2 linked regions of the Saccharomyces cerevisiae S288C genome follow. The gene in region 1 interacts genetically with each later gene. Each region holds a gene or a part of one and is shown on either strand. Other genes may lie near its edges.

Region 1 (8,713 bases):
GAATTGTAGGGCGAAAAGAGCGTCATCTTGGAACCAGGTGCCATCACGGGAAATGTATGAAACGTGGAGGCAATTTCTCCAGGAATATATTTGAAGTTATCATCACTGATTTCATTAAAGGTATTTTTTCCGTTCTCAAAATCATCTGGTTGTAAACCTGGAATGAACAGAACTATCATTTTCTGTAAACTTGACCTGTTACAAATATCAATCCATTTGGGAGAGTTGTTTTCAGCCTGCAACAAGTATTGAGTCATGTCTCTTACATCCTTTATACCAATACCTTTTTCAACCACAGACTTTAGCAATGTGCATGTCATAGGCTTTGCCTTTTTTTTCTTCTTATTCTTATTCACTTCCGATACCACATTTGTATGATCATCCTCTTGTACAGAAGTCTTGGATAACCTTCTTTTCTTTGATCCCAAAGCCAAATCACTCACGAAGTTAGTGTCAGGCCCTTCTACTTGCATGTTTGCCTGAGTATAGTCTATTATTGTTTTCTTCCTCAGTCATCCTTGGTATTGCCATCGAGCAAAAATCTTCCCTCCATTTCTATTGTGTCCTCGCGCCACTTATAAAATACTAACAATAAAATAATAGTGAACTACAACAATAAAATATACAAAAATATGTTTATACGCAAGGGTTTTGTGGAGTGCACGTTGGCGAAGCAGAGGACTTAAGTAGGCGTCTGATTTCCGTGCTGCTTAACTTCTCGCTCCAGCCGTCTTCCTCCCTTCCTCCAAGTACATTAACCACATGTACTGCCAATGGGCTCATGCCTTTTTCAATCCTAGTCTTATTCACAGTCTCTGCCCCACTGACGGTTTCTCTACTCACAACTAAACATTCTATCTCGGGTACTTTCCCTGTGGGGCCGCACACGTCCCTTAAGGGAACTAGTTCTACGGAGAGATCCGGTTTTAACAACTTGATGAATTGATGTACGTGCCTGCATCGTGTATCATAAGGTTCAATCAACTCTTTGTATTTCTTGTTTTGCAAGAGCTCATCGCACGTAATTCCACAAATTAACCTTTGTGACGTGATGAATGTAGAGACGCTCAACAATATTTTATGTCCATCGTGAATGTGGTCGAACGTTCCGCCCAATGCGGTGACATGAAATTTGTTAGCATCTTTGGGACCTTCTATCTCTTCCATTATATTATCGTGTAATGCATAATGTTCTATACTATGGTATTGTCCTTGTCCCAACTCTAGCTTCCAAGTTTCAAAAGTGGATTCCTGTGGCAATAAAACCACTTTCCATTGCAAATTACTCTCGACGAAATGAATATTGTTGAATATGATGTTGATTCCGCTGTTGATCATTCCATAGCCCAAAAGGACATCCCTGGTAATACTGTACATCTTCCCTAGCGCAGAATCCAACTGGAATGAGGTTTTGAATTCAGGTACAATCACGATGTCTAGTTGACTTTGACATTCTCTTAAGAACGGAATAGTTTGCCCTATAATCCTCTGCAAAGTAGCACTAGGCGGTGTATAAGGAAGAACAATCAAAACTCTGGAATTTTCCTCAACCATCTTACACTTCTTTACTTTAGATTTTTAGGTTTAATCACGTCTCTTTTTATGACGGTCCTTATTTTTATCTTTTTCCATTACGTACTCTTGAAAAATTATATTACACTGATATTTATTTTGGCATTGTGAGTAAGAAACCTAAAAAGGAATAAAAAGGCTACAAACCAGCATGTCTACCGCTACCATACAGGATGAAGACATTAAATTTCAGAGAGAAAACTGGGAAATGATAAGGTCACACGTTTCACCCATAATATCCAATTTAACAATGGACAACTTACAGGAATCGCACAGAGACTTATTTCAAGTCAATATACTTATTGGCCGCAACATAATTTGTAAAAATGTTGTGGATTTTACTCTGAACAAACAGAATGGCAGGCTAATCCCTGCTTTATCCGCTTTGATTGCCTTGCTAAATTCTGATATTCCAGATATTGGAGAAACTTTAGCAAAAGAACTAATGTTAATGTTCGTGCAGCAATTCAATCGCAAAGATTACGTGTCCTGCGGAAATATCCTTCAATGTCTGTCCATTTTATTTCTTTATGATGTAATTCATGAAATCGTGATCTTACAGATTCTATTGCTACTCCTTGAAAAGAATTCTTTACGACTGGTCATTGCCGTGATGAAAATATGTGGCTGGAAACTTGCACTTGTCAGTAAGAAAACCCATGATATGATTTGGGAGAAGTTAAGATATATTTTGCAAACACAGGAGTTATCTAGTACACTACGTGAGTCGTTAGAGACTCTGTTTGAAATAAGGCAAAAAGATTATAAATCTGGGTCTCAAGGTCTGTTTATATTGGACCCAACTAGTTACACAGTTCATACGCACTCCTATATTGTTAGTGATGAGGATGAAGCCAACAAAGAACTGGGAAATTTTGAAAAGTGTGAAAATTTCAATGAACTAACCATGGCGTTTGATACGCTACGACAGAAGCTGCTGATAAATAATACGTCCGACACAAATGAAGGTAGTAACAGTCAATTACAAATCTATGACATGACATCTACCAATGATGTCGAGTTTAAAAAGAAGATTTATTTGGTTCTGAAAAGTTCATTATCAGGTGACGAAGCGGCTCACAAATTGCTAAAATTAAAGATTGCGAACAATTTGAAAAAAAGCGTGGTAGATATAATCATCAAATCTAGTTTGCAGGAATCTACATTCTCTAAATTTTATTCTATTTTGTCCGAACGTATGATAACGTTCCACAGGAGTTGGCAGACAGCTTACAATGAAACTTTTGAGCAGAATTATACACAAGATATCGAAGATTATGAAACTGACCAACTGCGAATCTTAGGTAAGTTTTGGGGACACTTAATATCTTATGAATTTCTTCCAATGGACTGTCTTAAGATAATTAAGTTAACTGAGGAAGAATCGTGTCCTCAAGGAAGAATTTTCATCAAATTTTTATTTCAAGAGCTCGTAAATGAGCTCGGATTAGATGAGCTGCAATTAAGGCTAAACTCCAGCAAGCTTGACGGAATGTTTCCGCTGGAAGGAGACGCCGAACATATAAGATACTCCATAAATTTCTTTACTGCCATAGGATTGGGCCTGCTCACAGAGGACATGAGAAGCCGGTTGACAATTATTCAAGAAGTTGAGGATGCAGAGGAAGAAGAAAAAAAATTGAGAGAAGAGGAGGAACTTGAAAAGTTACGGAAGAAGGCCAGAGAGTCACAACCAACCCAAGGGCCAAAAATTCACGAATCCAGGTTATTTTTACAGAAGGACACCAGAGAAAATAGTAGATCAAGATCGCCATTCACAGTGGAAACAAGAAAACGTGCTAGATCCAGAACTCCACCAAGAGGATCGAGAAACCATCGTAACAGATCCAGGACTCCGCCTGCAAGAAGGCAACGGCATAGATGAAGAGCCCGGCCAAACAAACATTACACATGTAATCGTACATATTTACATAGAACCGTACACGCTTTTAGCCAAAAAAAAAAGAAAGGTAGAATATAAAATAAAAACTCGTATTTCGTATTAAGACAAATATACAGAAATACAAATGAGATCATAAACGAACTAAAATAGGAAAATGAAAAAAAAAAAAAAAGATTAGCGAAGGCAAACCAGAAAGCAGTCCTTTGATATAACAGAGAAAAAGAAGATTATCAAAGCCTTAATTTAAAGTTAAAAATATTGGGTATCGTTTTTTAAATCAAGATTTTTTTTGTTTTTTTTTACAATTGAGTAGACTTATTCATTGGATAGAATACCCCAGTATTTTTCAACACCGTAAGCACCGTCGGCCTTCCAGTAGTCGTTGAAGGCAGTGAATAAGAAGGTATCAGCACCACAGGAGCTGGTAATGGCGGAAACAGCGTCCTTTTGATTTTCCTTAGATGGAACAGCAACACCGTAAGTCTCACCCTTTGATGGCCAACCAGACTCAGTGATAACAACATTCTTCTTACCATCACAAGCAGTCCAGACTCTTTGGATTTGTTCTAGTAACCATTTACCGGAGTCTTGGGCAACTGTGTTCTTGTCAAAGTAAGCATGGGCATTAACAGCCATGTAGTCGGAGTAGTCACACAATTCAGGGTTGTTGATCACAGCAATAAAAGTATCAACAGAAACAACTGGACCAGTGTAACCGGCAGCCTTCAAGGCAGATCTACCAGAGTCAATGTATTGACCGACTTGGGATGGGGTAGCTTGGTTACCGTTAACCAATTCGTTACCAATGGAAACAGTGGTGACATCGTCCCAAGAACCGTAAGATTCAACAGCAGACTTGATGGTGTTGACACCGTCTTGGATTTGGTCAACGTAGTAAATACCTAAAAAGACTTTTTGGTTCGAAGCCTTAGCCTTGAAAACATTTTCAACTTGGTTACAGTCGGTACCGTACAATCTAATGACTGGGAAGTCAGTCAATTGAGCTAAATCGGAAGCAACTTCCGAAGCGGATTTACAAGCACCGCTGGACTCGTATGGGGTATAAGTGATACCTCTGACACCAGAGGCAAAGCTGCTGACGTCTTCGCCGGAAGAACTAGAGGAAGAAGCTTGGGAGGAAGAGGAAGATTGAGTAGATGTAGCAGCAGAGCTGGAGGCTGGAGATGCGGCAGCAGAAACTTGTGAGTTGTTCTCAGAAGAGGAAGCAGCAGCGGTAGCTACAGAAGCAGCAGACGATGTTGTACTGGTAGCGGCAGCTGGAGCGGAGTTGACAACAGCATTTTCTTCCAAAGCAGCAACTGGAGTTGAAGCGGCACCATTAACAATGATAGTGGTTTGTTTTTGAACAGTGGTAGTGACCACAGCACGCTTGTCCTTGTGTTCGTGGTTAGCGGGAGCAGCAAGAGTAGCAGCAGATAAAAGAGAGGCAGAAGCAATTAGGTTAGAGAGACGCATATTTTTCTAGTTTGCTTTTCGGTATGGCTTGCTAGTATATAAACGATTGTAGATGTAAAAGAATGACTTAGTTGGATTTAGTTAGATATCTAGCTGGACCTTTGTGTAAACACTATTAAAAGAATAGAATAAGGGCTAAAAGAACTACTAAACAGAAAACAATTATGACAGAAGATAAAGAATACATATCTATTAGTTTTATAAAACAGAGATCTTCTCCTCGAGGAATGGGAGAAAACAGAAAAAAAAAAACAAAAACAACGGTGCCGTTTTTGAAACAACACCACAAGAGAAAATTTCTGAAAAAAATGCGCGTGAAAAGGAATCATGTGCCTATTTTCCTCATTTGGAGAGGCTAAACGAAAAGGGAAAAGAGGTGCGTTGCGCGTGTTTCTAGGGAGAAGATCCTATTGCAGCAGGGTGTCGCGCGAAAAGCGGTGCCTACAAATTACAAAACCCTCTGGGAAATGACCGTGCAGGGTCGTTTGTGGATGCATCTCGATTAGGCCGGGCTAGGCATCTTGATTCTTTCCCAAAATGGAGTTAACGAGCTCGATTGGGCGTTAATTGATGGATTTGGTTACACTGATACGAATTGAGCCCGTTTATCATTCATGCAGCGGCTTTATGGAGGGTGTGGAAGACGTTAGCGATGTTATGCTTTCCACTTGCTCTACTATCTTCCATCAAACCCACCTAATAAAGCTGAAGGTTTTGCAGGGGCAGAAGTCGTGGCGCAATAAGTTCAATAAATACTTATAATATTACTTACTAGTTTAATCATGTATGTAAAAACTCGTTGCGGTATGCTGTCGTACTGGCACACATTTTTTTTTTTCATTTTTATTTGCTTTTTTCTTTGGCACCGGGGAAGAATTTTTCCCCACTCTATATATCTTGCTGCGTGTGCAGACTGGCCAGCTGCTCACACAATGAAACGCAATGGAATGTTTAGTCGTTTGTTATCATAAAGATCTCATTCAGTGCCTTGGAGTCCATCAACGCGGCCCTCTTTTGTTTTATCCATTTGGAGCGCACCGATAGTCTTGTGTTTACCGCATCGGGGATATTGGATGCAGATTCACTAGATTTTAATTTTGACGTCTTTTTCGTTTCTTTGGTCTTTTCCGCCCTTTTTTCCTTCTTCAATCTCTTCTCTTCCTTTTTATGTTTCTTATGCTCCTTTTTGTCCTTCTTGTCTTTTTTCTTGTCTTTCTTATGCTTTTTGTGCTTCTTGTGCTTCTTTTTATCACTGTCTTTATCCTCTTTGTCGTCATCATCTTCATCTTCGCTATCGTCTCCTTCCCTCTTTCGTTTCTTCGCGTTGGAGTAATTTCTTAACTTGTGAGTCTTTGGATCCCACGTGCTTGCTAAAACTTCACCCTTCACAAAATGGATACCCCATTTTCCGTCAATAATCTTCTGCTTTCTCTGCGTGTCCAATTCCTCTGATATTTTGCTTTCCTTTCCGTTCAGCCTACCAAGAATTCGCTGGAAGACATCCAACCCTGCGCATTCACCATTATCAAACTCGTCTTTTTTGTCTTTACGTTTTAATTTAGCACCGAGCCCAACGTTGTCGTCCTTAATTGACACTTTGATATGCGAAGTGTTCGAATTCATGGGGGATAACCCCAGACCCATACCGGGTTTCCATCCAAACTTTTCTAGAAATTGGTGCCCGAATCTCGAGGTGTCGTTACTCCATGCCGTATTTCTGGGGTCTAAACCAAACCGCTGTTTGGTTCTTGTAGCTGCCAAACCCATTCTGCTTCTTTGTTTAATGGTGTAAGCTGCCTATATGTTACTATTGAGTACTCATCTCATCGCTTCTTTCAGAACAAAATTTTTCATATTTTTTTTTTTTCCTTTTCTTTTTTTTTTTTTCTTTGACTGTTACCCGGTTGTTTATATTTGTAGGAAAACAACAACGACAGAGAAAATATCCTTGCAGTGGCGGCTAATTTGTTAGTTGACTGATTGATCACCTTCACTTATTAAAGTAAAATCAGCATACAAGAGATCAGAAGGGAGAAAGAGAGTGGGCAAGGCTATAGTACTTTGAAGAAAGCATCTTTGAACCGACCAGTTCTCTTCACAAGCAAAATCTATATGACTAACCGCAAGGGGCAAAGGGTTGTGAGAGGGCCCGTCTTTCTCCCGCTATAGCCGTCACTGGTATCCCTCCTGGCTGCACAAATCCGATAGAAAGGGGAAGAAGGAAGTTTAGTGCCACCTTATAGCACGCAGTTACTGTTTACGCTAAGGAGAGGCATACTCAATTTTTATTAGTCGCCTTCTTTAGTTGCTGCGTTTTTATCCACGGTTCTCTACTAAATGCTTGCGATAAGCGCTTCTATTTTCCTCCCCACCGCGAGGCGGAAATGGCACATTTTTTTTCTTTTGCTTCTGTGCTTTTGTTGTAATTTTTGGCATGTGCTATTGTATGAAGATAACGCGTGGTTCCGTGGAAATAGCCGGAAATTTTGCCGGGAATATGACGGACATGATTTAACACCCGTGGAAATGAAAAAAGCCAAGGTAAGAAAGTGGCAATATTTTTCCTACAAATAGATCTGCTGTCCCTTAAATGATTACCATACATATATATATTTATTACACATCTGTCAGAGGTAGCTAGCGAAGGTGTCACTGAAATATTTTTTGTTCCAGTTAGTATAAATACGGAGGTAGAACAGCTCTCCGCGTGTATATCTTTTTTTGCGCTATACAAGAACAGGAAGAACGCATTTCCATACCTTTTTCTCCTTACAGGTGCCCTCTGAGTAGTGTCACGAACGAGGAAAAAGATTAATATTACTGTTTTTATATTCAAAAAGAGTAAAGCCGTTGCTATATACGAATATGACGATTACCGTGGGGGATGCAGTTTCGGAGACGGAGCTGGAAAACAAAAGTCAAAACGTGGTACTATCTCCCAAGGCATCTGCTTCTTCAGACATAAGCACAGATGTTGATAAGGACACATCGTCTTCTTGGGATGACAAATCTTTGCTGCCTACAGGTGAATATATTGTGGACAGAAATAAGCCCCAAACCTACTTGAATAGCGATGATATCGAAAAAGTGACAGAATCTGATATTTTCCCTCAGAAACGTCTGTTTTCATTCTTGCACTCTAAGAAAATTCCAGAAGTACCACAAACCGATGACGAGAGGAAGATATATCCTCTGTTCCATACAAATATTATCTCTAACATGTTTTTTTGGTGGGTTCTACCCATCCTGCGAGTTGGTTATAAGAGAACGATACAGCCGAACGATCTCTTCAAAATGGATCCGAGGATGTCTATAGAGACCCTTTATGACGACTTTGAAAAAAACATGATTTACTATTTTGAGAAGACGAGGAAAAAATACCGTAAAAGACATCCAGAAGCGACAGAAGAAGAGGTTATGGAAAATGCCAAACTACCTAAACATACAGTTCTGAGAGCTTTATTATTCACTTTTAAGAAACAGTACTTCATGTCGATAGTGTTTGCAATTCTCGCTAATTGTACATCCGGTTTTAACCCCATGATTACCAAGAGGCTAATTGAGTTTGTCGAAGAAAAGGCTATTTTTCATAGCATGCATGTTAACAAAGGTATTGGTTACGCTATTGGTGCATGTTTGATGATGTTCGTTAACGGGTTGACGTTCAACCATTTCTTTCATACATCCCAACTGACTGGTGTGCAAGCTAAGTCTATTCTTACTAAAGCTGCCATGAAGAAAATGTTTAATGCATCTAATTAT
Region 2 (5,561 bases), on another chromosome or scaffold:
GGATGGCACAAGGAACACGCATTTTCCCAAGGCTTAGTATACACATCCTTAAATACGAAAGTAAACATTAATGTTTGACTAAAATTAAGATTTGGTAAATACAGTATATAGACAATGCAATCGTACTAAAAACTAAATGGAACACAGAAAAGAGCAGTGAAAGATTTCTTTGATTGTTTGCTTGAGTCTGAGTAATATCATATTTTATACAAATACATAGACATAAACAAAAGAGGCAAGTAGATAAGGGTATAGCCATATGAGTGTATAAACAAACATTGGGAACAAGAGCAAGACGATGGGGAGTTTCAAATAGGATAGCTATACTGACAACATTCAGTACTCGAAAGATAAACAACCTCCGCCACGACCACACTCTATAAGGCCAAATGTACAAACACATCTTCCCAATATCCGTCACCACGTACTTCAGCATAATTATTCGTCAACCACTCTACAAAACCAAAACCAGGGTTTATAAAATTATACTGTTGCGCGAAGTAGTCCCATATTCCGTGCTGCATTTTGTCCGCGTGCCATTCTTCAGCGAGCAGAGAAGACAAGACATTTTGTTTTACACCGGAGCCAAACTGTGAGTAATATGCTCTAAAAGCCATAAATGAGTTTAAATATTTCTTTGAAGATTTTATAGATGTCTTATTGAACTGTCGAAACTGAGTATTTTGACTTCCAGACGCTATCCTGTGAATTTGGATTTTATTTAAAAATCGAGAGGAAGGAACAGGAATCTGGATATCTTTCTTGAGTGGTCGAATAATATTGAAGCAGCTTGGCCTCACATGCTCAGCTAGACGTTTTTCTTTCAGCTTTTTTGAAACCGCTGTGTTTCTGTATGATTTGGATGCTTTGTTCTTAATTTTGAAAGCAGGCTTCGAAGTAAACATATTGTGAATGTCGTCTATTAAGTTATTATATATGGTTGATACATTTCATAAAAAGTGAAGGTTAAAAGAAGTAGTTAAGAGTTTAAGTTGTTTCATATGATGTACTTTTCTACATTGGGAAGCAATAAATTGCATCCCAAACAAAACCCAGACATCATTAATGTTTTGAAACATAAAATGTTGGAACTTAAAAATATATATAAAGGAGAGATTGAAATCAGCTTAGAAGTGGGCAAGAAAAAAAGGAAGATAAGCAAGAAAAAATGAATAAAATACCCATTAAAGACCTTTTAAATCCACAAATCACAGATGAGTTTAAATCCAGCATACTAGACATAAATAAAAAGCTCTTTTCTATTTGCTGTAATTTACCTAAGTTACCAGAGAGTGTAACAACAGAAGAAGAAGTTGAATTAAGGGATATATTAGGATTCTTATCTAGGGCCAACAAAAACCGTAAGATTAGTGATGAGGAGAAGAAGTTGTTGCAAACAACATCTCAACTCACTACTACCATTACTGTATTACTCAAAGAAATGCGCAGCATAGAAAACGATAGAAGTAATTATCAACTTACACAGAAAAATAAATCGGCGGATGGGTTGGTATTTAATGTGGTAACTCAAGATATGATAAACAAAAGTACTAAACCTTACAGAGGACACCGGTTTACAAAAGAAAATGTCCGAATACTAGAAAGTTGGTTTGCAAAGAACATCGAGAACCCATATCTAGATACCAAGGGCCTAGAGAATCTAATGAAGAATACCAGTTTATCTCGCATTCAAATCAAAAACTGGGTTTCGAATAGAAGAAGAAAAGAAAAAACAATAACAATCGCTCCAGAATTAGCGGACCTCTTGAGCGGTGAGCCTCTGGCAAAGAAGAAAGAATGAGCCCGAAAAACAAATATGTATATATCTGTGTAGAATATATATATATATATATTTCGCAAAAATACATAAACAATCAACCCTCTCCTCAGACACTACTAAGATGTTTGTACTGATAGATAATGTCCTCGCCTACCTTCTTGAACAAGACGACCTATTTGTAACCGCACGCTTCGCTATCCAGGGCCAAATTGTCTCAAGAAGAGTTAACAAAATACATATCTCCAACATCACAGACGTCCTTCTACAACAATTCATAAGTCACACACTGCCCTATAATGACAATATCGTCCCAAAAAAAATCCTCGACAGCATGAGAACGGCCGTACGGCAGTTGCTGGAAGCAACTGCCTGTGTCTCTAGAGAATGCCCCCTCGTCAAAAGAAGTCAGGACATAAAAAGAGCAAGAAAACGTCTACTCAGTGACTGGTATAGGCTCGGCGCTGATGCAAACATGGATGCCGTATTACTAGTTGTTAACTCCGCCTGGAGGTTTCTGGCCGTCTGGCGACCCTTCGTAAACTCAATCCAACATGCAACTCAGGAATTGTATCAAAATATCGCCCATTACCTTCTTCATGGCAACGTAAATATACAGAGGGTCACAGCACTACTACAGCTCGTAATGGGACAGGACGATTTACTTTTTAGTATGGATGATGTTCTACAAGAGGTCTTCAGAATACAGCTCTATTTGAATAAGATGCTGCCGCACAACTCTCACAAATGGCAAAAGCCATCCCCCTTTGACTCCGCAAACTTACTACTTAACTTCAGAGACTGGACAACTGACAATGCTCTCCTCCAAGAGTTGCTACTATCCTATCCCACAATTAATAAAAACAAACACAAAAATCACTCCGTCCCTCGTCTAATACAAGTTTGAATGACGATTTTTCTGAAATCTTTGTTTACATTTCATTCTATGTGCGCTAGATATAAAAATCTTATTGTGAAAGGTGTTTGAATCAATTTGAAAAAATGTAGGTTGAATTTGGTTAGATTTGGCCCCCGAAATCGATAATAATGGCCAAATACTAAGTACATTAATTAGTTAATTGTTCTTTCATTAATAATTTGAATTCCAAATAAGTCCGTGCCGAAAACTTTAATGTTTTAAAAAAACATAAAAAAATCAAAAACCCATTCATAAGATACTGTGTTGATCCATATATTAATAGGTTTTAAGTACATATAGAATACTTAAGAAATTACATTCCATTGCGATACACCTATTTGATTCTGATTGTGTTGAAGTCTGTATAAAAGGCGAAAAAAATAAAATGAAAATAAGAAAATAACTGCGCTACTTGTCTTCTAAATTATCTTCTGGTGTCTCGTCCTTTTTTGGTATGATTAATTTCTTATTGGATGAAAAACTACAAAACAAAAATCCTAAGGCATAAAACCCTAGATCCATCCAAAATACGTTCTTAATGGAGTCGCTTAAAATGTTTCCAATAGTCGAATGAGAACCGTCGTAGTTTTGAAGACGATACAAAATCATGTCATCAACCGTTTTTCCTTCGTAAGGCTCTAGATGAGCTCGTGATACTTTGTTGTGAAAGGAGGCGGAAAAAACAGTGGTTGAAAGCACACCACCAAGAGTTGTACCTAATGACTTCATGAATGTATTGAAAGCTGTTACTTCAATAAAGTCCATAGCAGCTTCTGGACGATCTTTGGTAATTTGAAGCTGTGCACTCATGAGCGATGCTTGTAGAGCAAATCCAAGGGAAAACCCCGGTAATAGCAAAACACCAATTTGAGTTGACTTCGTGGACGTATTTGTCATAAGTGTCATAAGCCCTGCTCCAATTACCCCAAGAACGCCTCCAAATATTAAGAGTGGTTTAACTAAACCGAGCTTTTTGGTAATCACACCACTTGCAATGGCCGCAATAACGTTGGTAATAACGATTGGTATCAAGTGAAGACCGGCTTTCCATGCACTCGACGCAAATATAAGTTGGAAAAACTGGACAGAGTATATCATTTGCCCATTGTAACCGGTACATAATAGAAATGTTACCATGTTTATTATTATTATGGCTGGTTTTGCTACCAATCTTCTTAGAAGGAGAGGCCTGTAGGATATATTATCAGGTTCCGGGTTGAATTTATCGAATAAGAAGAAATCGTACACCAATGAAAAAATAAAAAGTAAGACACCCAAAACCAAATATGCGATGACTTGGCCAGAGTTCCAACTATATTTATTACCACCAAAGGTTAGCCCCAGTAGGAAAAGGACCAGCCCTGCAGAGCAGAGGGCAAAACCAAAGAAGTCAAACTTGAAGATTATGCCATTCATAAGTCTTTTAAAATTAACTTGGTGTCTGAACTTACTAAAAGTAAAGCTCGAGATTGTTCCTATAGCATCTTTAATTTGTTGAAGTATACCCTTATTCTCGGCCTTATATGTGAGTAAAAACATAATAATGGCAAGACCACCGATAGGAAGATTGATATAGAAGCACCACCTCCAGGTAACATGGGTTGTAAAGGCACCTCCGATTATAGGACCAACGATAGCAGCTACAGCAAATGCACAACTTAGGATGGAAATCACCAATGGACGTGACCTTTCACCAACCATCGTACAACCAATAACAAAGCAAAGCGTTTGAAGTCCGCTTCCCCCAACACTAGCAACAACTCTACCGACAATGAGCATATTCATTGAAGAGGCAAGGGCAGCAATTAGGGATCCGGCTTCAAAAATAAGTATTGCTAAAATGAGACTATGCTGGAAACCTATGATAGATGCGAATCTTCCCCAAATGAGACTCAGAATAGCATTTGGTAAACTGTAGCCTGTAACGAGCCAACCTGTTTTGGAGTAGTTTCCGAACTGTTCTGCGACCACGTCAATAATAGTTCCCACTATCAAAATATCCAGTGCAGTTATGAATAGTACAAGAGTTCACGAAGCCAGGCAGAGGTACAAGGAAAGTCCCATTGGAGAATCATTGCTACCTCTAGCATTCAATGAAGCGTCTGAACCACATGCTTCTTCTATCTCCTGCTGCGAAGAGTACTTAGTTTCCTCCATATTTTTGAATTTCTATCGATTAAGCTCTATACCAGGTATGATCTGGTCTGATCAGTTCTAGGTATAAGCATAACTAGAATACATCTATACATGTGTATATCTATATCTATATATATGTATATATATATATTTAAACCAAAAAAAAAAAAAAATTCGCTTCTCATAAAGGTGTGATGACACTATTATCTTTTGCATATCTTGTCGTCTCGTATCATGTACGCGCTGCATATGAGGTGCGGCGCTATCTGTTAAATATGTACCAATTTGCACCTGCTGCAAAGGAAATGTGGCACTACTTTTACTCGCATGTTAACTTTCACCTACTATATATAGAAAAAAGGGTGTTGTTTTCAATCGCTGACTAATTTGCTCAAATACTCTTTACAAAAAGGAAATTGTGTATCAGTAACCCTTACGGTTTGTTTATGAAGGAACTTTGCTCGTCCTACACCACCGGATCTAGGTACTCAATTTTTTGATGATTTTGCACTTGTGCGCATATCCTGTCGACAGGCACCGCATTTTTTTCCTTGTTTCAACAGACATAAACACAAGCTTCACTCATCAGTTTGAAAAGAGATAGTTTCGACGGTACAGTATTCTTGTCGTACAAAAGTCTTCGGTATAACTGGTTCGTCGTGGATTTTCGGAAACTAAGTTGATTGTACGACGACAGGTCAAAGTTAAAGTTAAAGTCACCAGGTGTAT

The links.
Region 2: mutations in CWC22 (region 1) and YCL068C together harm fitness less than expected from each alone (positive genetic interaction), as found in Saccharomyces cerevisiae (one large-scale study listed by BioGRID).

What each region holds. Positions count from the first base shown.
Region 1 is NC_001139.9:1,045,008-1,053,720, forward strand, and holds CWC22 (U2-type spliceosomal complex subunit CWC22), read left to right. Parts: upstream 1-1,723; coding exon 1,724-3,457; downstream 3,458-8,713. Other genes in the region: RNH70 (Rnh70p), read right to left, coding at 1-473; CAB4 (putative pantetheine-phosphate adenylyltransferase), read right to left, coding at 637-1,554; SCW4 (putative family 17 glucosidase), read right to left, coding at 3,791-4,951; PXR1 (telomerase inhibitor), read right to left, coding at 5,903-6,718; ATP-binding cassette transporter YOR1, read left to right, coding at 7,817-8,713. UniProt on the Saccharomyces cerevisiae protein: May be involved in pre-mRNA splicing.
Region 2 is NC_001135.5:8,626-14,186, reverse strand, and holds YCL068C (uncharacterized protein), read left to right. Parts: upstream 1-1,901; coding exon 1,902-2,684; downstream 2,685-5,561. Other genes in the region: HMLALPHA1 (transcriptional co-activator mating type protein alpha), read right to left, coding at 378-905; HMLALPHA2 (homeodomain mating type protein alpha2), read left to right, coding at 1,169-1,801; VBA3 (basic amino acid transporter), read right to left, coding at 3,105-4,481.